Linked DNA regions of Tamandua tetradactyla. The protein of the gene in region 1 purifies or fractionates together with the protein of each later gene. This does not show direct contact. Links are inferred from orthologs where the notes say so. Each region holds a gene or a part of one and is shown in the gene's direction. Other genes may lie near its edges.

Region 1 (8,166 bases):
GCCTGAAAATGTAGAGCTGTGTTCCAGTAGCCATGTTTATTGAAGATGATTATATAATGATACAGCTTTCACAATGTGACTGTGTGATTGTGCAAACCTTGTGTCTGATGCTCCTTTTATCTACTTTGTTAACAGATGAGTACAACATATGGAATAAAAATGAATAATAGGGGGAACAAATGTTAAAATACATTTAGATTGAAATGCTAGTGATCAATGAAAGGGAGGGGTAAGGGGTATTGTATGTATGAATTTTTTCCTGTTGTCTTTTTATTTCTTGATCGAATTGATGCAAATTCATGATGATGAATATGCAACTATGTGATGATATTGTGAATTATTGATTATATATGTAGAACGGAATGATCATATGTTAAGAATGTTTGTTTTTCTTTCTTGTCATATTTTTAAAAATTAATTTAATAAATAAAAAAAAAGAAGACAATGAAGCAGCTCCTTCAAAATACACTGAGAAAAGTATGTCTAGCTAGAATTTTATACCCAGCAAACTATCAATAGCGTGAGAGGTTAAAGACATTTTCAGAGACTCAGGTTTCAAAGGGTCCCCCCCACAGATCCATCCTTAGGAAGCTACTAGAAGACTAAATCCAAAAAGAGGAACCCAAGCAATCCACCAAAAAGAAGGGAAGCAAGGGGAAGGCTCATGATAGGGATGGAGGGAGATGTTGGGATGCAGGCTCTCTGGTGGGAACCAAGAGCAGCCCATCCTTATCCTCTGGGAAGGATGCCACCAGAACCAAAATGGACCCAACAGAATACCAGTGGTATTCTGTATCTCTTCGTTACCCCTGTGCTGATTTGAAAGGACTTATGTACTCCAGAAAAGCCATGTTTTAATCCTAATCAATCTCGTAGGAGCAACGGTCTCTTCTAATCCTTATTCAGTACTACAGGTTGGAAACTTGATTAGGTCATCTCCATGGAGATGTGACTCAATACCAGTGGTATTCTGTTCATCAGTACGGGCATAAATTAGGAGAAATACATAGAAAACCAAGCAAATGAAGAAGTGAAGTAAATATTGAACTCCAATAAAAACAACAAAAAAAATATGTAAGACAGGAAATATAATCATGGGACACTAGGTAATTCAGCTGTTCACAATATTTACAGTCATAATGATATAAACATTGAATAGTAATTTATCCAGAAAGTGTCACATGACTATTCTAAGAAGGTGAGGGGAAGGAAGTGTTTATGTGTGTTTAAGCCACCTAGACCCTTATCTTTCATCTAGGAAGTATAGATAGATAACACCTAAAACAGAAAAACCATGATATATAAGAATTTGTGGATTTTTTTTTAACAAATATATGGGTGAAATAACATGACATCTAAAAGAGTTGAAAGTGGGTGCCTCTTGGGAATGGGACTTGGTGGGGAGAAGAGCGAGGCAAGGGACTGCTTTTTATATTATAAGCCTTATGGTACTATTTGACTTTTTTTTTCATTTTTTATTGAGGAATAAGTGATATAAAATAACTGCATCTATTATAAGCCTTATGGTACTATTTGACTTTTTTTTTCATTTTTTATTGAGGAATAAGTGATATAAAATAACTGCATCTATTTAAATAACTTATTTATCAATAAGTTTTGTTATATGTGTAAACCACAATCAAGATAACAAACATAGCCATCACCCCCAAAGGTTTCCTTGTATCTCTTTGTTACCCCTGTGCTGATTTGAAAGGATTTATGTACTCCAGAAAAGCCATGTTTTATCCTAATCAATCTCGTAGGAGCAACGGTCTCTTCTAATCCTTATTCAGTACTACAGGTTGGAAACTTGATTAGGTCATCTCCATGGAGATGTGACTCAATCAATTGTGGGTATTAAATTTGATTAGATGGAGACATATCTCCACCCATTCTATGTGGGTCTTGATTTGTTTACTGGAATCCTATAAAAGAGGAGATATTTTGGAGAGAGTGCCTTTTGAGAATGAGGAGAGAGCCACAGAACCACTACAGTATGATGAGAGAACCACAGAGCCCACCAGCCAGAGACCTTTGGAGATAAAGAAGAAAAACGCTGCTGGGGAGCTTCGTGAAGCAAGAGGCCTGGAGAGGAAGCTAGCAGATGTTGCCCTGTTCACCATGTGACTGTCCAGTGGACAGAGAAACCCTGAACTTCATCAGCCTTGTTGAACCAAGGTATCTTTACCTGGATGCCTTAATTTGGACATTTTTATAGACTTGCTTTAATTGGGACATTGTCTTGGCCTTAGAACTGTAAACTAGCAACTTATTAAATTCCCCTTTTTAAAAGCAATTCCATTTCTCATATATTGCATCCCAGTAGCTAGCAAACTAGAATTACTCCTGGGAAAGGAGATATAAGTGGCAGGAGGTCAGCAGCCACTCAAGAATGGCTCAATACTTTCTGCACCTGTTTTAGCAAACCAAGGGATATGGATCTGTGCTTCTATGCAGGTTTTCCAGATCCCAGCCTATGGGTTGACATGTCACAGTTCTACTTGGTCTTTAGCACTTAGCTTGTAAAACGCCTCCTTCAGGAAGCCTGCTATGACTTCCTCCACATGCCCAGGTACCTTCCTTCAAGATGGGAGTCTCCACTCTGTAGTGTACTTGCCTGTTGTGACTGTGAACACAGCAGGCCATGAGTTCTACAAGGATGGAAACCCCCTTCAATAAACTGGGCCTGGCTCAGAGTGGGAGCTCAGGAAATATTTGTCGAATGAATACACAAAATCCAAGAGCAAATAACTGCATGGAACGGTGAGTGAGTAAGTGAGTGCATTCAAGGTGTTTTCTCAATGTCAATGACAGAAGGTTGCTAGACTGTGTGAAAGCCCAAGGCAGGCTAAAGCAAGAAGAAAGTTCAGAAACACAACTCGGGCCCGTTCTTACAGGAGAAAGTCCTGTTCCCCAGGATGAAACCCTGTCCAAACATCTTCCCCCCCAATCAAGGACCCAAGGGCTACCTTGGGAGCCCTGAGCCCAGCTGACACTTTCTCCTGGGGATGAGGGTCACTAGGGGGCACTCTTCCATCACACTGGCCCTGCCCCAGTAGCAAAAGGCATGCTCTGGGCTCCACCCTACATCCTAGGAGGTCCTCCCTACTGTCACAGTTGGCCTCTTCCCAAAAGCAGAGGGTCTTTCCAGGCAACAATGGCATGTCCACCAAATCAGCACAAGGTAGCTTTGCAGAGAAGGCAGGTGTTAATATTTCTAAGTGGTCCTGCCTTCTTCACTGCCTGGAATAAGGCCCTCACCTGTCCTCTTCCCCAACTGGATGGCCACCTAGGCAGGAATAAACTGAAGGGAAATATAGTCCCCCACTTTGTCCATTTACTCATTGCTACTCATTAGACACATTTTCTGTGCGCGACACAATGGCGGAGGTTCTGGGCAGTTATAGACCCCAGAGAAGCGGAAGGAAGAGGGAGAGGTGAGGAGAGCCCCCTCTCTAGGTGGGACCTCGCCCTGCAGGAAACACCTCAGCCTGGGGCCTGCAGAAGCCCTGGAAACAAAGGGCTGCAAAGCAAGGCTGGGGACCAAGAGTCGCGTGCACTCTGCAAAGTCGGGGCTCCTTCCCTCTTTAAGGCAGCGCCCTCTTACCTCAACGATTGTGGGGCTCCATGTCACAGATGTTCCATCTCAGGAGGAACTAACCGCCTGAGTAAACGCCAGACTCCACGAGGCAAACTCTGCCTGATGCGAATTCCAGGCCTGATGCCTGGGAGTGGAGGTGGGGGCAGGGGTGACAGTGAAAGAAGGCGCTGCAAAAACCTCCGGGGGCAGAGGGGGCGGACTAGGGGAGAGGTGCAGTAGCTGGATCCCGCTTTGGATCCTGGAACTGGAGCATTGGAACTCCCACCCCAATGTGCAGGTTCTTCCCGTGAATTTGCTTCCTGCCCCAGATGCTGGTGGGCCTCCTGTTCAGTCAAATTCTCCAGGAAAGGTTGGAAGGAGGAATCTCACAACCAGCAGAGTCCCCTTTGATGGTGCCCCCTGGGCCTGGAGCCCCTCCTTCATCGACTGACCATTTGGGAAGTAAGGAGGGGTCATTCCCTTCCCAGCTCCCCAGAAGGGGCTGTGACGAGGGTCAGCTAAGCACCCTCCTTTGTATTTCTGTGGGTGCAGACCAGAGCACAGGCACAGTCCCAGGCACAGGCTAAGGAGGGATGTGGGTGTGTGCACCTGGTTCCCGCAAGCCCTGTCCACACCCACTATGCGGCCACACCCCAGGGAGCTGCGCTCTCCACACCAAAGGCCTGGCTCCCTCTGAGAATTGGGTCACCTCTGCATCTTTCCTGGGCAGAATTCCAGACCCAGCCATCCACACCACACTGTCATCAGGGAAGAATCATTACCTGTGCCAGAGGGCAGGGGCGGGTGATGGGGGTGGCTGACAAGGTGGGCCAGGCCTGAGAGAGACAAAGCTGGGAGGAAAGCACTGGCTCACTCGGTGTCAGATACACACACAGTGGCAAGCCACTCTTCCCCTGATATAAGTGAAGATTTATGTGCTAGCAGGCTGACCAACCTAGAGTTCACCTATGCACACCTGCCTCCAGCACATCTGAGCTATGGTCACCCTCTCACCCAACCACCCTGCAGAGTCAGGGGTGGCTGCCAGCTCAGGCAGGCTCCAATCCACTGAGGTCTCAGCCCTGCCTTGCCTGCAGAAGCTCTGTCCTCCATCCTTACAGGTGGAGGAGAAAAGAAGGGAAAAAAAAAAACAAACCTGTAAATTTCCCATCCAGGTTTTGGGGTCCCTCTCCCCTCTCTGTTGTTGTGGCTGGCTGGCTCTCCCCAGGCCTCCTTAGCCCCAGGGACACAGAGGTTATCAGCATGGGGGAGCCTTATTCAGAGGCCGAAGCAGGCTTCCCACTGCAAGACCTACCTCTTTGACTAGCTGCCCTGAGCTGGCCCCTTTCTGCAACCATCTCAGGAATGTTGGTCAGGCATTTCTTCAGGTGCTCCCTGCCCCCACCCTGAGAGACAGGACTGCACCATGTGGCCTTTCCCCTGATTTTGCAACCCCAGAGTGCACACGTACACACACACACACTCTCACACCTCCGTCCAGTGTTTCCAAGAGGAGCGCCATCCACAGCCGGGGGGTAAGACAGCCTGGGGCCCTTTCCTCTCTTCCTTTTCATTTCTAAAATTCCTACCTAGTCTATCCCAGCTGGCACAGGGGCACCCTGGCCATGGCTTCTCTTTGTGATGTGCTGCTAGTGGGGAGGGGGGCGAGCCTCCCTTAGCTTGGCCCAATGGCTTGTTTTCTCATTCATCCCAAATCTAATCACTATTTGAAATGCAGATGCGCATACCTGTCTTGTGGGGGACTTTACTTTTCTTGTCTCCACCTCCTCCAGCAGCTCTGGGAATTGCAAACTCCATGTGGGGGGATAAGCGGTGGGGGGAGGACCCGGCCAGGGGTAGACCCCCCGTGGACCTGTGGAGGGCCCAGTGTGGTCAGGGCTCAGAGATAGAACAGAGCCCTGGGGAGGAAGGCATGGGGTTTCCACAAGTGACCAGCCTGGTGGGAGGGTGGAAGGAGGAAGGGGCATGGGGGCAGAGGAGCGGATTCCACGTGGAAGAACTGCAGCAGCAGCAGCAGGGGACCCAAGGGAGAGCCGCTGGCAGGCAGGCTGTGTGTGTGTGGGGGGGGGGGGGGAGGTGAAGAAGAGGCTGCAACCAGGAGAGGGCAGGTGGCCATGGGGTGGGCTGGGGGGGATAGCAGCACCTACCCTGCCCTCCTCGGCACCCTCGGATCTGGTGGCCACTGAAGAGCTTTTAGAATGAATTAGACTCTGGGCAAGCTACTTAGCCTCTGCTAGCCTCGGTTTCCTCCCGTGTAACACAGGGATGATAACAGAGCTCCCTTGGGGAACTGGGGGGTGCTGGATGGGATGACTGCCGCAAAAAGCAGTGGTGGCCCAAGGCGCTCTGCGTAAAGGGGCGCTGGTGACCACCTGGGGGACGAGTGGGGCCGAGCGCCTGGCGGCGGGTGATTCAGTTGGTTAGGCGCGTCAAATTAACCAGTGGATTTTTTCAGCCCAGATTCACACTTCCTTAGGGAGACAGGTCCTAAAAGAGCTGGCGAAGGTGTTTGTAAACAATAAAAATGTAATTCAAAGGTTGCCGCTGGGCGTGAAAGCAGAGCGGGGAGGGGCGGGGGGTAGGGGTAGGGAAGAGGCTCGCGGCTGAACGCAGAGCCGTCTCCGCCTGCGGGGGGGCCCAGGCCGGGCGGACCCGGACCTCTATGCAGCCCACCCGCACCCCATACACACACACACACACACACACACACACGCACACACACACCAGCCCCCGCCCCTCGGATGCTCTGCGGGACACGCCGTGTACACCGCTCCGTGTCGTCTCGCCAATGCTTTTAGGGATGAAGGAGTGAGAGGAAAGCGAGGGGACGGGTGGCGAGGTGGGAGAAAATCGGCACCAACGGCTCGGACAAGAAGGCCGGGGGGCGGGTGGGGGACGGGTGGGGGGCGGGAGCAGCGCGGCCACGGGGGTCCCGGGCGGCCCGGGGGACGCAGCTCAGAGCCCGCCCAGCGCCCCGCCCGCAGCGCCGCCCGCCGGGAGGAAGGCGAGGGCCGGGAGGAGGGAGAGGGAGGAGGCGGAGGGCGAAGGAGGGCGGCGCGCCGAGAGGTTATTTGTGGTTCGCTTTGATCCCAAGGGGGAACCTGAAACTCTCACATTCCTGGCATAGCAGCCGCCTCCCGCGCGGGCCGACCCTGGGGCTGCGCGCTGGGGCCCGGAGCAGCCAGAGCGTCGGCGCCACCGCCGGGTGCACACCTCCGCCGCCCAGCTGAGCCCAGTCGGACGGGGTCGGGTCGCCGGGTGTGACGGCGCCGGGCGCCCACGGGCCGCAGCGGTAAGGAAGGCCCCTCTGCTCTCCCGAGAGTGCCCGAGGAAATGCGCCCCGGCCCAAGCGGGGGCTCCGGGGCAACCCGGCCTTTTCCGGGAACCGGATCCCGGCGGTCCGAGCGTCCTCAGGGCTCGGGGCGTCCTTTCGGGGCATCCGCAAAGCCGGGGAAGGGTAGTTCCTCCCGGGTGGCGCCGCGCCCTGCGCCCGCGGAGCTGTCAGAGGCGCTCGGGTCCCCAGGGGCAGTGGTAAGGGGCACACTCCGGGGAGAGCTGGGTGCGTGTTTGGGGTCGCAGGTCGGGGAGGAGGGGGGAGCGCCGCCTCTTGTTCGAGCTGCAGGGCCCTGGGGGCTGGTTAGATTAGGCGGGGGACGCGGGGGTGGGGCTCACAGGTGTCTTGACCTCCCAGCCAGCCCAAGAATTCCTCTTTGTCTTCCTTGGAAAATCCTCTCTGGAGCCACGGCCCGGCTCTCACTTGGGAAGAATGCAGCCAGCCGTCCAGCCCGGTGACGTCAGCACCGGAGTATTTGGAAAACAAAGAGGGCGAGGGAGGGCCGGAGGGAGGCGGACCCGGGACGCTTAAAGACCTCGCCGGGCCTCCGGCTGCGCTCGCCCGCTTGCCCCGGGGACCGCGGCGGCCACCAGGTGCTCGGGGTCGGCCGGGATTCGGGGTCGGGCGGCGTCGCGGGCTCGGGTGAGGTGCAAGTAATTGCCTCTGGCTTTGTTTGCTCGCTTGCGCGAGCGTGGGCTCAGGCCGGGACCCGAGGCGCCTGCTTGCTTAGGAAGGGAGAGGCTCGCCGCCGGGTCGCGGGCGCGGGTCTGAGTAACGGCCCAGCCCTTTGGTACCAGAAGAGACGTGATCCGGAGGGGCCTGGCCGGGACAAACCCCTAGGACGAGAAGCCCCCGGGGGCGTGCCCTGCTCCCATCACAGCATCGGGAGCCGGAATCTGTCGGGAGGGCTCCGCATTCCTTCTTGCCGCTCCCCAGTTCTCCTCGCCACAGCCAGCCCAGACAGTGATTAATTTAGGAAATGCCCTGCAGATGATGAAACGCGAGGGCAAATTGACTCCCGGTTGTTTGGTTTGTCTCTGGTAACTCTGGGGTCTTGTGTCTCCATTCCTCGAGTGGAGGGGGAGGGGCGTGGACTGCGAGTCGGGAAAGCTGGGTTCAGAGGTGCCCTCCACCCCCACCCCGGGCTCATTCCCCTCTCCCCAGCTCTGGGTGGCAGGAATTCTGGGCAGGAGGGAATGAACTGGGAATGGCTGCTCCGCCAGCATGCTAA
Region 2 (7,445 bases), on another chromosome or scaffold:
GGAAGAATTTTTGTTCTCTAGAAAAATCAGATTTGCCGAGAAGGGCAATGTTGGTGCTGACTGGTACATCGATTCAGGGGTGGGTGGGGAGGAGGAATAGGAAGAGATGTTGGGGTGGGGGCTGGCTCAGCCCTTCCAGCTTTCCTTGATGGCTAGTGCAGAGGTGCTCAGAGATTGCTGAAAAGTTCATTTTTCTTGCTCCAGTACATCTGCGGGGCCTGTTTGCAGCGGTATTTCTGATGTGTTCTGTCTTTGGCCACATCCAGGGAGATGGTGAAGTCCAGGATGGGGTCAGAGGAGGAAGAGGATGCTGTGGGGTCCTGTTCTGGGACTGTCCTGGGGATTCAGCTCCTCACTGGTATTAGACCTCCTTTTAAAAAGTTTTATTGTGGATATATGTATCACCCAATTTTCCATTTTAACCATTTTTAAGTGTACAACTCTGTGGCAGTCCCAGTCAGGATAATCTCTTTCTGAGTCACTCATCTGATTGGGGACTTTATATCTGCAAAAAATCCCTCTCACCATGCAAAGTACAAAATCACTGGTGAATATCACACATACCACAAGTCTTGCCCACCCTCAAGGGGAGCATTATTCAAGGGAGTGGGTCACTGGAGGTTATCTTACAATTCTGCCTACCATACTGCTTATCTGTGGGTTCTAATTTCCTTTTTATGAAGCATGTGAATTACTTGTAAAATAAAGAAAAACAGAATAAAAGTTACTAAAAACAAGAACAAAACAAGCAAACCAGTTGCCCATGAAAAATACAAATGCTGCAGCATAAGAGATTTCTCTGGTGGGTCTTTATAGAAAGGATGCTGTCAGAACCTTTGTCAGAATTCCTTGGGGCTAGTTCTTATTACAGCTTCTCTGCAGGACACTACCTTCGTGCCAATGTGTAGGAAAAGTAATTCTGCAAATAGCTACAATGACAATGCAGCAGTCCAGATTTAGGCAGAATGGCCACAGTCTAGAGTTCACATGTAGCATCTAGGACAAATTGACTTAATCTGGGCTCTATAGATGTGCTTTGGAGGAAACTTTCCATGAACTTCTGGAAAGCATATGCAAAATTTTGTGCATGTGTGCATTCCTTTGAGAAGGTCCACTGATTTCATCAGATTCTCGGTAGAATGTTTTTGATTAAAAAAGAGCAAAGAATCACTGCTCTAGGGCAGGGTCCCTTTATTTTGGCACTATTGATATTTTGGGTTGAATAATTCATTGTCATGGAAGCTGTCCTGTGAGTTGCAGGATCCTTAATACCATCCTGAGGCCAGGAGCATCCTCTAGCTGTGACAACCAAAAACCTTCAGACATTGCCACATGTACCCTGGGGGCAAAATCCCTCTCGGATGAGAACTGCAGTATTCTTTGGAGCTCAGAAGAAAGCTTTCTTCCAAGATGTATTAGTTAGGGTTCTCTAAAGAAACAGACTCAACAGGGAACACTCACAAATATAAAATTTATAAAAGTGTCTTATGTGACCGCGGGAATGCAGAGTCCAAAATCCACAGGGCAGGCTGTGAAGCCGACGATTCCAATGGAGGGTCTGGATGAACTCCACAGGAGAGCCTCACCAGCCAAAGCAGGAAGGATTCTTCTCAATCCTCCTTAAAAGGCTTCCAGTGATTAGATTGGGCATCACTCATTACAGAAGACACTCCCCTTTGGCTGATTACAAATGGAATCAGCTGTGGATGCAGTTGACATGATCATGATCTAATTCTATGAAATGTCCTCATTGCAACAGACAAGTCAGCACTTGCCCAACCAGACAAACAGGTACCACCACTTCGCCAAGTTGACACATGAACCTGACCATGACACAAGCTTACTCAGGTTATTGGCAAAATTCAGTTCCTTGGGGTTATAGGACTGAGAATCACTCCCCCTCCCCCACAACACACACACACACACACACACACACACACACACACACTTTGGCATGCATGAGAATCCCCTGGAGGGTTTGTTAGAACAAGGCCCCTGGGTCCCAACCCCAGAGTTTTTGATTCAGTTCTTCTGGGGTGGGGCCTGATAATTTGCTTTTCTAATTAGTTCCCAGGTAAAGCTGACAGTGCTGTTTTGAGAACCACTGGTCTTCTGGAAGAAATGGCTGAATTCGATGTAAATCAGGCTTAAATCTGGATTTAAAGCCGTCTGGGTGGAAGAGGCAGCTCTATCAATTATGATCATGGTAGAGATGATAATTACCTCATTTTAGCCATAACAGTTTCTTCCCGGATAAATCAGGGATAAAATAACTACCAAAAGGAGTTTTGGTAAAGATGAAAAGAAACAAAGTATGCAAAGCACTTTGCAGGGTGCCTTATATTGTAAGCTCTTCATGTATGGTAGCTATTGATTGGGCTCTCATCATTGAGAACATAAGCATTTCCTCATGTCCTGCATTTATTCACTCAGTAGATATTTATTAACTGGTGTCTATGTACTGGTTCTTTCTTAAGATGCTGTACCTTATTTCACTGTACCCTCCTCAAACCCTTATCTGGTGGGTATTATCATCATCTGCTTATTCTTTGTGAATGGCAATTCAATGCCTATATAATATTCCATCTAATTTTATTCCTGGCCCCTCCCTTCTGAGATTCAGACCCATAGGTATACCTGGATGATCTCCCGGAAGGTTGAATTCAAGCTTTTACCTCTAACACACAGTGCCTAGCACCTAGTAGGCCTTCCACAAATAGGAGCTATTACTGGCCACCTACGTTATTTTTTAGTCCCTGTTGTTGAATCCACCTCCTTCCTTTACTCCTCCATTAGCTCCCAGAGTCACTTATTTTCTGTCAGTAGTCTTGGCCCTGGGTTAAAGCTCTGATTTGCTGTCCCAGTGGGGAGGCCACAGGAGAATCGAGTCCTGTTCTTTCACCCGCAGGGAAGAACTGAAGCAATGAAAATGAAGACACTCCCACGCCAAGCCAGTATTGCCTAGAAAAATCAGTTCGGTGGAGACAATTTGCTAGCTGCATCCAGGACATAAAGTTAAGTTCCCCAGATGAAATCTCTCTTGGTGTGCCAGTAAATGATTGCTGAGGCAGGGCTGGTGTTTCATGGCACAGCAGGGGCTTGCCGGGAACAGCTAGATTTATCCATTATCCACTTACAGCAACAGTGTCTGGAGAGTGCTCCAGAAGTGTAATTCACGTTTCGTGGCTGCAACAGGGAGCAATTTGGAAGTCACAACCAGGGAAACATGGTCGTGACACCAGCAGGCTCTTGATCTGCGAGACCTAGGTTCAAATCCCAGCTTTGCCTCTCCCTATTCCAGTAAGTTCACAGTCTTCTACCGAGCCTCTCAATTTCTTCATCTGTAGGGCGAGAGCGATGCTAATGATTATTAACATTTAAGGAGCACTTACGGTGTGCATAACATTGCTTCTATTTGGATAGTAATGATTATTGTAAAATAGGAAAATATAATTTATTAATTTAATACAGAAAGGTGTAATTGCCTCTCACACCCGTTATAACTCTTATAATACTAAACAATAATTAATACACGTGTATAGTTCGAAGATGCAAATCACATAAAGTACAAAATGAGAAATGCTTTCAATTTTACGACAGTATTGGACCTTCAAAAACAGCAGTATCACAGCAGTCAACCTATTGTTTGTCAGACACCGTTCTAAAACTTTATATGTTAACTCGCTTAACATTGCGAGGTAGGCACATTATTATCCCCCTTCGATAATATTATCTCTCCTAAAGCGAAGCAGAGAGATCTGGCTGGATAGTGCCGACAACCTAAGAAGACTCCACAAGCGTTCTAAGTGTTCGTGAGGTCACTATATGTAATTAAGGGCCAAACAGGAATATTCAACGCGTGTCCGAAACGCACTTTCCTACGGCGCGACGCTCGCGCGTGCTGCGTCCAGAAAACAGTGCCTCAGAGGACCAGGGGAGGACCTGGCTCCCTCGCTGGAGCCAGCCCGTGCGTGGGGACGCAAGAAAGGCGCGTCGGGAGCTGACGCCTCAACCAATCTTGCTAGAGAAGGCGTGAGCCTAAGAACAAAAGTGTTCGGAGTGGCTGCTGCTCCAGCCACTCAGGGCCGAGTCCAAGCTCTGCATCTCCAGTTAGGGCGCAACTTCTAATTGATGGAGCCGCTCTGAAGGAGGCGGGACGGAGCTGGAAAGCCCCGCCTCCCTTGGAGTTTTCAACCAACCGCACAGTCGCCGGGCTCCGCAGGGTGGCCCAGCAACCGCCGGGTTCGGTTGCGCTGAGAGAGGGGCCTGAGGGCGGGGCGGGAGCGGGCTGGGGACTCGGGTGAGGGGACGCTTCTCGGGGGCGCGCGGAGCGGGAACGGTGACAGGCCCGCGCGCGCGAGCGCGTCGCTCCCGGCTGCAGCTCGGCCCTGCCACTCCGGTCGGCCGCTGAGAGGCGCGCGGGGTCTGGGCCGCCGCCGTCGGGGAGGGCCCCATTCCCGGAGGACCCGGGGGTCCCGGGCATCCCGGGCGTTCCCGAGCGCCGGGCTGCGCCCGCCCCGTTAGTACTCGCTCGCGTCCTCTACACGCGGCGGGCAGGACCCGCCCCCCGACGCCCCTTTCGGCTCCGGGTTTCAGGGTCTTCGCGGCCCATGCGGGCCGCTAGACGCCCGCGCCGCAAAGACAGCTCCCGGGCCGGCCGGCCGGCCACCATGGTGGCCCTGAGGCCTGTGCGGCTCCTCCAGGGGGGCTAAGAGATCCAGAGCGCAGGCTTCGGGGCGGGGGTGGTGGTGGCAGGGGGCCCGGACCCGACTCCCGCGCCATGGCCGGGGCCATCGCTTCCCGCATGAGCTTCAGTTCGCTCAAGAGGAAGCAACCCAAGACGTTCACCGTGCGGATCGTCACCATGGACGCCGAGATGGAATTCAACTGCGAGGTAACGCCCGCAGCCCCGACTGGCAGCGGTGAGGGGAAGCTGGGCCGAAACCCCTCTCCACCAAGCCCCGGCGCGGGGTTGGGCACCGACCGAGGCGCCGCTGCCACGGTGACAGTCCAGGTGGAAGTGTGAGGGATTCTGCTTACATCACCTGCTGATCGTAGGTAGAGAGGGTTAGAACCAGAAGGGTCTGTCTGGGCTTAAATCCTCGTGTTAAAGGTGTTTTCTCTTCCAGGGGCTTTGAGGGTTTGGGAGAACTTTCTTTCTGGAGGTTGTTTTCATTCATTGCTATTGGAAGAGGCTGGAAGCATCTGTGGCAGGGAATTATCGCTCTCAGTTTCGAGCTTAAGCTCTGAGTTTTTAACTTCATTAGGTAATGGAGTTTTTAACTTCATTAGGTAATATTATTAAGCACCCCAAGTATTGAAAGTTGCATCTTGTCTATTGGAAAGCCTGTCCTTGCTTCCTGTTTTCAAAGTTTAAATTTTCAGGAAAAGATTCTTTGACAGAAAGGATGGTGGCTTCTATTTACTTTTCACTATTACTCCAGGATGATAATAGTTATCGTTGTTGAATACTTTCTAAGTGTTAGTCATGCACAAATTTGATCTTCACAACACAAGGAGGTAGGTACAATTATTATTATCATTACCCCCCCCCAAACTATATATCTAGTAAATGGCAGAGTGGGACTTTGAACCAAGCTTTTAGTCAGCACAGTACTGTTTTCAGGTAATTAAGTTTTTGTTACTCAGAGTGTGGTCTACAGACCACAGCATCAGCAGCCTTGACCTAAGTCAGGGATTGGAAACTTTTTTTTCTGTAAAGGGCCACGTAGTAAATATTTTCGACTTTGTAGGCCATGGAGTTCTCTGTTACAACTACTGAACTCTTTAAGCCTACTGTTAAAGTGCAAAATCAGTCTTAGACAGAATTGACTTCCAGTATGACAATGGGATGGGCTCCACAGACCCACTGGGGTTCTCACCTGCCATGCTGGAGATTGGGCTTCAATTCCTTGAGCCTGCTTATGCAAAAAGAAAAAAAAAAAGGACAACAACAACAAAAACAATTATTTATTTATTTTGGCATGGGCAGGCTCCGGAAATCAAACCTGGGCCTCCGGCATGGCAGGTGAAAACTCTGCCACTGAACCACTGTTGCCCACTCTAAAAACAATTATTTTTTAGATTATTATTATTTTAACAATTATTTTTAGCTTTTGGAAATGGTCCTAAGGGTGAGTAACAAAGAAAGAAAATCTACTCAAAGTCAGTAAGAAAGACAGGCGTCTGTGGTATTTGAACCAAGACAGATCCCTCCCTCCCCACAACCAGCTCAGCAAGGTGGGACTGATAAATCCCAAGACTGGTACAGTCAAGACCACAGGGCTCCCTCTCCCTCCAGCTCGTATTTGGAGGGTTTTCTTCACGGGAGAAGCAGGACTTCAGTGTTTCAAATCCTGTCCCCAGCCACCTGTTGCTGTGGCTAAGTCCTGGGTGAATGTGGTCTAGAGGTGGTAGCTCTAGCACATGAGATGGTGGTTCCATGCCAGGAGACGCAAGCCCAGTGCAAGATGTCCCCAGTGCAAGATGTCACTAAGAGAGCTTGCTAGTATCCCCAAACCCAGTTCCAGAGCCCTAGTTCAGAATCTTTTGTCTTGGTAGGAAAAGCAGGTCATAAAACAGATGTTTCCTAATCTCTTCCCAAAGGACTGACATCGTTTGCTACAGAGCATTGAGAAGTTTGTGCCTAAGGGTGCTCTCAGAGACAGTGGTGTATGTGGAAAATATTCATGGATTTCATGAAAATTCAGCCTAGGTTGTTTGCTGGGTAGTTTTTGGGAAACAATAGGGGAATTGGACCCCTGAAGGAGCCCTTCTGTGATCTGAATAAATATCACATACTGATCTGAGAAGCTATTCCCTCAAAGGAGCCATAGTTCGATTAGGTTAGTTTGTATAGCAGTTTATTTCTCAGGGTATTGGTGAAAATAATAGACACATCAACCAGTAATTAGTGTAGCTTTATGACTGGGTATGGTCAGGGAAAGAGAGGAAGAGACCATTACGCAAACCACCATCATCCGAGGATGACTGGGGCATACCCAAAGCTTTCTGAAGAGCAACATCAGAGCCTTAGTCCTATAGGGAGGGGGAAATAGACTTCCCTAAAATAATCTAGCCTGTCAACAAAACATATACAAGCAAATAACAAGCCCTTCCCCTCTGAGGGGAGGGTAGTACCCAGAATTACTACAATATATTATCTAAAGTGTCTAGTTTCTAACAAATAACATTACAAGGCATGCAAAGAAACAGGAAAATATGACCCAAGTGCTAGAAAAGAAAGCAGGCAACAATTACTCTCTGTGAGAGCAATCAGATGTCCAATTTAACAGACAAAGACTTCAAAGCAGCCATTAAAAATATGTTCATAGAACAAAATGAGAACTTGGTTAAAGAAGTAAAGGAAGATATGCTGACAATGTCACATCAAATAGAGAATACCAGTAAAGAGATAAAAGTTATAAGTGAGCCAGAAGAAAATT
Region 3 (8,617 bases), on another chromosome or scaffold:
TGCCATCTGATTTGCTCGGTTTTTCTGTTTACTTCATGTCCCTCTTTCTCTAACAACCTCCCTTCTTTGTCCGAAGTCCATTCTCTGCATGCCTTAAATACCAGGCTTTTCTCGTGACTTTGTTTCTGCCCTTCTCCCCTTCCAGGTATCTTTACCTCAAACATCAGTTCTTCCTCACACCTCTGTCTTTCTGAAGCAGTATTAGCCCTGGGACAGAGTTTTTCGAGTTCCAGCTCCAAACCCAGAAACTCTTCTTGGCCTGGAGTTATCAACTATCAAATACAATCTGCAGTGACTGCTTCCTGACTTTTTAGATTTTCCTTTTCTCTCCGAAATTTGGCAGCCTCTTTGTCACTGACCCCCTCCTGCCTCTGCATGTGAACCCACCTTATCATAATCTCATCACTTTTGTGATCAAAACCCATTTATGAATCATGCAGAAGATAACAGATAAGGCTCAGTTTTTCTTTTCTGATCTGGCTGATAAAGTAAAATGGCTGGTCTTAAAAGCAACTGCTAAGAAATGACCAAAACAACATTTAGTAGTTAATTTAAAATTCAAAGCTAAAAAGGGAATGTGAAAATGGTTCTCTTGCAATTACACAATTAAATATTTATTGCCAATTTAGATTAACTCAGCTGTTTCCCCAGTGACTTTGAAAATGTTAATTTTATTATAGAAAAAAGTTTGAGACAAGGGTTTGGACTTTACACTTTTTTGTTCTCCCTAAAGCAAGTGTTATCAATGTTTATCCCACAAGATTCAATGTGATTTTTTAATGGAAAGTTTTGAAGCCTATAGATAAAGTAAAACTTCACCTTTTCAGTGGGATTTTTCTTTCAGTTACACAGTTACAGACACAACACCATTTTGCTCATGTCTGCAAAGGAAACAGAACTTGCAGCTGACTATAAATGAAATGAGAAATAAAGTAAATAGTTGGCGTTGCTGTCATAGCTCAGGCAGCATAAAAAGTAAACCAACAGGAGGTAGTAAGAAAAGAAAGTCTGTTTTAGCAATCCTTCTCTTAGTAATGTAAAGTGTCAACATAAGAATTCTTTAAATGCAGAATGTGATTCGTATCTTGACAGTGTTTCTTTGAGCTCTTCTGGGAATGAATCTTCTCAAATTATTGAGCAATTCTCACTTATGCAATCACATACTTGGTTACTCATCTGAGAAGCAGAGTGGCTATTCAGAGAATGAAGCTGTGCTCCATGTCACTGAAAGCAGCTGGAAGGGCAGGTCCTAGGAATGGCAAGTCACCCTGCACAACTTTCTGGGACTCTCGACCTTCTCCTTTATCTGCACAAGGGGTTTTCACCGCGTTTTCCAGGAGATTCTGTTTTCCAAAATAGCTAGAAGTTAAGCATTTAAAAATAAATTAAAATCAGAAAAAAAGTGTACTCTATCATAATTTTAACATTGGGAAACATGTAAGAATTGAAATTTTACACTGAGGATTTCCCCCTGGTATCCAAATTTTATTATGTTAAAAAAAAAAAAAAGAGTTCATCGTTGAAAAGAAGCCCCCAACTAAGAGGAATGATATTGTTAATTCTTCTCTGCAAGTTCCCCCAAGCGTGCAGAAGCCCAAACTCCAAAGGCGATTGGAACAGGATATCTCCCTGTCTGGCCCAGAGTGGTTGGTTCAGGAAAATGATGGCATTTTAAACTTTGATATTGGCGCGTTAATGCATCCTTTAAGAATGCATTCAATCCATTGAATTTAGCTATTTTAAGAGTCTCTTTATGCAGTTTTGGGGAGGGGGGAATTTATAATCTAGTTAAGGAGACAAAATATATGGCTATGAAACCAGCCTCAAACAAATTAAACAAATCTTGGGTAGCTCATTTTCTTCCTGTCTTTCTTGGCCTTTTATAAATGGACCCCACTCTGCTTTCTCACTCCTCCCCACAGAATGCATCTCTCTGTAGTTAGGCAGATTTGCTAAGTCTCCTCCACACTGATTACAAACAAGGAGGAATTTTTCTTTTCAAGAAGCCAAAAACTGTGCCTAAAGGCCAACACCTGCTTTCCAGGATTAAGGTATAGGGAGGCTGGGCTGGTAACCAGGTTTCTTGCATTCAGAGCCAAGGAGTGTGGGCAGGTAGCCTCAGGTCTCTACAGAGACCACCTCTACCCACATCTGGGACTTCAGGGGCCTTGCTTTACAGGGAATTCCTTGTACTTCTTTGCCCTGGTTGGTGCTGGAGGCACATACCTTTGGGAAACCCTCTTTCTGATCCACAGAGTTTATTTCTCTTCCCTCAGACAAGGTGTAAGGGAGTGAATTTGGTTTAAGTTTCCTTATTTATAAGCACAGTGTAATCATATCTTCTCGAGATCACCTTGAGAGAGCTTTTACAATGCAGTGTTTCCCAGCTCCTACTTAGACTACCACGTTTGAAGCTCAGCTCTTTGATCTTGGACAAATTCCTTGGGCTCTTGGTGTTTCAGGGTCGTCTTCTACAAAATGGGGTTAATAATGACATGGTTGTTCTGAGGATTCAATGAGGTAATGCACAGACTGAGATCAGTGTTTGGTTCAGAGCAAGAGTACATACATATAGCCTATGTTGATTCATTAATTTATAGACTGCAAATTTGCAACTATTATAGGGTTTGTGCTCAGCTGGCCTTGTGGTTTTAGAATTAAACCAAGAGGTTTTCACCCGAATAAATGATATGGTTGTAGTGATTTAGCTGATTATTTAAAAATATTTTTGTGGTTTACAATTCTACTGTAGAGGACTTAGAAACTATAAGACAAAAATCACCCAGAATCACTACACCTAGAGACTGCCACTTTTAACATTTTGCTGTATGCATTTCTAGATTTTAATATATGTAAAATATATATTTATTGTTTTGCAATTTGTCACTTGCTTTTTTTTGAGCATATTTACCAGACTGGAAGCTCCACCAGGGGCTAAATCATGTAATTTTGCTCTCTGTGACTCCTAGTGCCTGGCTTAACACATGGCTTATAGCAGACACTCAAAAACAAAGAGAGGGCTGGCAGTGATGACTCAGTGGCAGAGTTCTTGCCTGCCATGCTGGAGACCCGGGTTCATTTCCAGGGGCCTCCCCATGTAAAATAAAATAAAATAAAATAAAAAAAACAGAGTGAGAGAGAATGAGTGACTCCACATCAGTAAACACACATCCACAAAGTCATGAATCAGAATATTCCCCATATGGAAATTTACTTGTTTCCAAGTTGTCTTAGTCTCTCTCTACATATGTATATGTGTGTATATACATATATGAAAAAAAATTAATGTAAAAAAACACAAAGAAGACTATAGCATGCATTAATGAACCTAGCACTCAGAATAAACAAATTTTAAAGATTTTTCCAGTTTTGCTTCATTTTTCTTTTAACTAAAAGGAAAAGCATGCCAATAAAATTGAAGTCCTTATTTTTCTCTCCCCTGTGTCATTTCTCTTTCCTTCTGATAGACAACAGCTGTCATGGATTTGGTGTGTGCTCTTGCTGTCCATGGCGATCCTTTTATAAAGTGTAGTATAGTTTCTGTAGCAATTTTTATTTATAAATACAGTATCAGAGTGTAGATGAACTTCTGCAATTTGCCTTTTTTCACTCCACATTGGTTTTGAATTCTATCCTTGATCACTTATCCTTTGACAAGCATAGAACTAACTCATTCATTTAGCTAGTGTATAAATTCCATCATTTGAATATACACCTTTTATTTTCCTACTCCCCTACTGTTGGACATTTGGGTTTCTCCTGATTTGTCGCTATTGCAAACCATGCTATAACAGTCATTGTAATGGCAAAATTTTATTAGGCATTTCACACGTTACTGTCATTAAGTTCCCTTCAGTTTACAGTATTTTATTTGACAATTTTTTTTCACCTTTTAAGAGAGAACAGGAGTAGGACTTTTAAACACATGCATACGATTGCAGCTGATCACATGGCTTAGGGTCCGGGTGGAGAATGTAAGACCTGAGTGTGTATGAGTGAAAAGACACAGAGAGATATTATTGGTGAATGCAAGAGGGGCTCAATTATAGAATATCTCCTACAGTGTAAGATTTTTTACAAATGAAATTGAATTCTAAATGGCATGATGGCGGTTTAGCTATGAGAGCTTAAAGAAGTGAGAAATCAGGGAGATTTCCTAGATGTGCTAAGACAGTGGCAGGCCTGAAAGCCTGGGTGCACTCTACAGAGACCAAGTACAGGAGGAAGGGTGGACCAGGACTGCAGGCTGGCTACGGTATTAAAATAGTACCGAGATAATGATTTTCATTACTCTTTCTTCCAAGATTAAAATTAAAAACCTTCAAAAGAGTTTATTAATTAAAAAGGAAATTGGATTGCCTTTTAAAGCCATAACAGCCCTCCCCAATGCTTTTACCACGGACTAGATGTTAGCAGAGCCAGAAACAGATTAAGGCTTTGATCTCCAGTTTCTTATTCCCACTCCGTATCTCTATACAATTCCTACAAATGTCCTTTTGCCAAATCCCTAACCCCCAAATGGAAAGAGTGTCATGGTCACGAAGTTGACATACAAAAAGCACAATCACTCTTGTTCATATACATTACACAGCTCTGTACGCCACAGAAGCCTGCTCATACACAAAATACACAGAGCAGGGAGGCTTGATTAAATTAAATCTGATTAAATTTCGAGAGGCATTAGGCGCCCTTCTTTATTTTTATTTGATTCCGTGATCCCAACAGCTGTGTGCCCTGTCTTTAATTTTAGTCGTTGGCCCTTTCTTGTAAGTTGGAGGCGCCTTCGCCCCTGTTAACTTTCTTCACCAAGCCCGGTGTGAGACACTTAAGGAAACTAGTGACAGAGTTGCCTCTGTCACTTCTCACAGAAGTGCAGTCGAGGGAGGGCGAGGCTGGAGTTGGGGTATCTGCCGGCCGGCGGGCCAGGCGGCGGCCCCGGGGCAGCGAGCACAGCCCGCCGGCCGGGCCGCCCAGCAGCAGGGCCGCCGAGCAGCAGGACCTCGCGGCCGACGGGAGCCCCGCCCGGGCTGGTATGCGGCCGGGAGTGACGCGGGAGGCGGGGTCACGTGACGCCCGTGGAATGCCAACAATGTAGCGAATGTCCCACTTGGGTTTGCGCGTTGGAACGGCGGCGTGAGCGCCTCGGGAAGATGGAGCAGCCGCTGCCCGCGCCGCCGCCGTTGGCTGGGGCTCCCCCTTCCTTGCGGGGCCAGCGGCAGCTCCCGGCCCCGGTGCGGGCTCTCCCGGCGCGAGGGGCCACGGGGTCGCGCGCGAGGACCCCCCCGAGCGTGTAGACGCCCCGGAGGTGAGGAGGCGCCAGGGGCGCGGGGGTGGGGTGGCGGCCCGGGGGCGGCTCAGTTGTCCAAAGTTCGCCGAGGCCCGGCGGAGCTCGAGGCTTCCTGTCCCCCGGCTGTCGGCGGCCGCGGAGGCTCCGGGAGGGGCGTCCGGCTCGGCCCGGCCGCTCCGGCGGGGGTGGGGGGCGGAGAGGGCGCAGGAACTTTCTGGGCGGGGGTGGGGGTGGGGGCTCCGCCGCCTTGTCTCCACTGGACTCCCTTGGCCGGCGCGTGTAAGGGGCGCCGGGCTGTCGGGGACCCCCTCCCCCCTCCCCACCCCGGCGGCGGGTCCTCGGGGCCTCTCGGAACCCGGGAAGTTTGCGGCGGGGCGGGGGCCGGGCCGGGAGCAGATCCCGGGGCTGCGCCGCTTTGTTGTGCGCCCGCCGCCGCGTCCCACTGGGTCGGAGCAGTGGGCCGCCCCGGGATCAGGGCGCGGGGTTCGCGACGTGCGCGGGGTACCCCCGCAGGGCTGTCGGGGCGCGCCGCTCGCCGTCACTTTCCGGAGGGGAACTGGGCGCTCGCACCCGAGGGCGCGCAGGCCCGGCTGGGTGGGGGGCGGTCCTGACAGCTGCGCCGGTTCCGCGCCCGGGTGCTGTCCCCGCGCCCCTGGCCGCCCGCCCCTCTCAGGCCGCGGCCGTGGGTGGAGGTGGCGGGGGGAGCCTGGCTGGCTCCTGGGTTCTCCGGCCAGCCCTGTGCTCCCGGCCTCTCCGCGTGGGCCTCCGAGTCTTCGCAGGACCCAGTGCGAGTTTCAGGCGCGCTTTCGCGGCGGTGAGAGTGGTGGCAGTTGCATAACGTGCCTGTCCTGCGTCCTGGTTTAGCAGGACTTTTCTGGGGCTAGTCTAGCTTTTCTGACAACTTCACAAGGGGTTAGTTCTCCAGCCAAACTCCGGAGATCCGATTCCGATATGGCCAATATCCTTGCCAATCTCTTTTCGTTGCGCCTGATTTTGGAAACTTCAGGAACTGCATCTCCCGGGGGTGCAGCCTCGGGGTGGGCAGAAGGGCCTAATCGGAGCCGCGGGTGGAGGGTTTATCGCAGCTCCCCAGTGCGCACGGGTCAAGGCGGGCGGAGACCCCGGTAGAGGTAGGACACACCTTATTGGCCCGGGGTCGCCGGGCAGTCGCAGCGGGACCCGGGTTACTGGGGTCAGGAGCTGCACAGTCTCCCCAAAACACGGCCTGGGGAAAGCAAGGCTCCTAGCGCGTTTGGAGACCGTGGGACGAGGAATACTCTTGCAAGCAGAGTCACGAGTTACACTTTATGTGTAGATTTCGTTGTATATAAAAAAAAAATTAGCGAGAACTTTTGCAGTTTCACTTTTCTGTAGGATAAGTGAGAGTGTTCTTAGTAGGGTGGTAGGCTAAGGCTTTTAAAAATTATTTAACCTTAACTGTTACAGCCAGAGAGTATACATTTAGCAGGTAAAAATCCGAACTAGAAGCTGGACTACTCTCTTCACAAAGTATTTAGCAAATAGGTACGTTCTTTAGGAAGGTTGCACACTTTTTAGTAAGAAACTTGTATATACTGAGATTTCAATGAAAAGCCACAAAATGTGTGTGATTCTGGTACAGATATTCTGGTTAAAATATTAATTTAGTACATGTGAGGGCCATCCTTTAGTAATGGAGAAGATAACTCGTGGCTTATTAGGAAGTTTGTACTGAATAGATCTTGCTCTTTTAACTGTTTTCTGTTTATTCTTGGCTTAAGTTCCCTGCATGATGGATCACTATTCGGGGGTAACTAAATCAGAAGGCTAAGCTACTTTGCATTTTATAAGTTTTTTCTTTAACTTTAACGACTGTTGTAGTAAGGTAATAATAGACAAATCTTCCAAAATAAGAATGCTGAAACTGTTAATAAGGCCTGTTTTAGATGAACTATAATTAACAAGACACCAAGTTATTCAGCCTCTCATAACATTTTGTCTGAGGTATATACTGTTTAATGAACACATCAGCATTCCTTTGAAATTAAATTGCTGGACATTTAATAAATCTCAAAATGTCAAGCAGTTAAAAAAAGTGTCTGCGTGAAGGCTGTCATGCAAAATTATTAAGAGGAATTACTAGAGCCATAGAATTTTAGAACTGGAAAAAAACTTTTTCCATTTAGTTTGAAATAGTTCTGGGTTAAGTGTAAATTGGAGCTGTACATATTTCTCAGCAAATCACAAGGTTGGTGGGAGGGATTTTCCTTTGGTAGGCGGGGAATGCTTTTATAAGAGGATGCCTTGTTATTTTAAATGCTGTGTTGTAAATAGCCAGCTCAGGGCTCCTAAATCCCATGGAGGGGTAAGTAAGCTGATAAATTCACCATAAACCCACAGGAAGTCAAGTAAGATTTGGGGACGCTTTGGGGTAGTGGTTGGGATTCTGTTTTATATTAGAAAACCAGTCGAACACAATTTTTGAGAGGCTTCTTTTTTATTTTTTCACCATTGTAATAGTGTCAAATTTTTGAATATTCCTAAATGACCTTTTTAAAAAAAGAGTGGGCTTGAACAGTTTGAAAGATAAATTTCAGTGCATTTGCTTTGTCCTGACTAAATAAATGGGCTTGATAATTCCTAAAGCGACTGATTTCCAGCTGGAAAAATTCTCTGAATCTCCTTCCTTTTTAAAAAGCCAATTGTTTAGTAACTGTCTGGATGGAACTGGGCCTCCAAATTGCACTCCTCCAGGGGGCACCATCTCCATTGTGTAATGTAAATGTGCCCTCTCTAATGGCTTCATTTACATAGAGTACTCTGAAAGGTATCTCTGGGAGTTTGTGAAGGTGGGCTGCTTGTTTCATTGTGTTAGTTCTATCCCGTGCTTTTAAGGCTAATGTTATTTTATTTATAAATAACCAAGTTTCATTTTGAAAGCATCAACTTAAAGATAATGTCGAAAATAAAGATATTGGGTATGATGATAACCTTAAGATGCCAATTTGACATTGCTTGATGTTTGCTATTCACTGTTTATTGGTTACCATCTAGAACATGCCAACTAAGTTGTGTTGTCTTTTTTTTTTTTTCTTCAGTTATTGAGTGAATACTGTTAGTACTGTTTATATGTTATGTAATACGTAGGAGTTTCTCTGGAGGAAAAATGCAAAACCTTAAATTTTGTAGCAGTGGTTTGTATTTATTAACACTGATTGTTATGATATTGTGTCATAATGCACAATCCTTAGCTCCTAAATAAGTTAAGTTGTGAAGGATCTTCTTAAAAATGTGATTTGTATTTTAAAGTTTATTATTTTTAGAGCAATTTTAGGTTTATAAAAATCTTGT

Evidence for each region.
Region 2: the proteins of AMOTL2 (region 1) and NF2 purify together in Homo sapiens (affinity purification with mass spectrometry; 5 studies listed by BioGRID and IntAct, with this or other methods). This does not show direct contact. The link is inferred for Tamandua tetradactyla from reciprocal best matches to the Homo sapiens genes AMOTL2 and NF2.
Region 3: the proteins of AMOTL2 (region 1) and LATS2 purify together in Homo sapiens (affinity purification with western blotting; 3 studies listed by BioGRID). This does not show direct contact. The link is inferred for Tamandua tetradactyla from reciprocal best matches to the Homo sapiens genes AMOTL2 and LATS2.

The regions. Positions count from the first base shown.
Region 1 is NC_135341.1:78,174,376-78,182,541, reverse strand, and holds the start of AMOTL2 (angiomotin-like protein 2), read left to right. Parts: upstream 1-5,023; 5' UTR 5,024-5,115; intron 5,116-6,381; exon of another isoform or gene 6,382-6,440; intron 6,441-6,700; exon of another isoform or gene 6,701-6,893; intron 6,894-7,006; exon of another isoform or gene 7,007-7,528; intron 7,529-8,166. UniProt on the Homo sapiens protein: Regulates the translocation of phosphorylated SRC to peripheral cell-matrix adhesion sites. Required for proper architecture of actin filaments.
Region 2 is NC_135331.1:33,433,949-33,441,393, reverse strand, and holds the start of NF2 (merlin), read left to right. Parts: upstream 1-3,876; 5' UTR 3,877-4,780; coding exon 4,781-4,894; intron 4,895-7,445. UniProt on the Homo sapiens protein: Probable regulator of the Hippo/SWH (Sav/Wts/Hpo) signaling pathway, a signaling pathway that plays a pivotal role in tumor suppression by restricting proliferation and promoting apoptosis.
Region 3 is NC_135330.1:186,945,916-186,954,532, reverse strand, and holds the start of LATS2 (serine/threonine-protein kinase LATS2), read left to right. Parts: upstream 1-5,089; 5' UTR 5,090-5,305; intron 5,306-8,617. UniProt on the Homo sapiens protein: Negative regulator of YAP1 in the Hippo signaling pathway that plays a pivotal role in organ size control and tumor suppression by restricting proliferation and promoting apoptosis.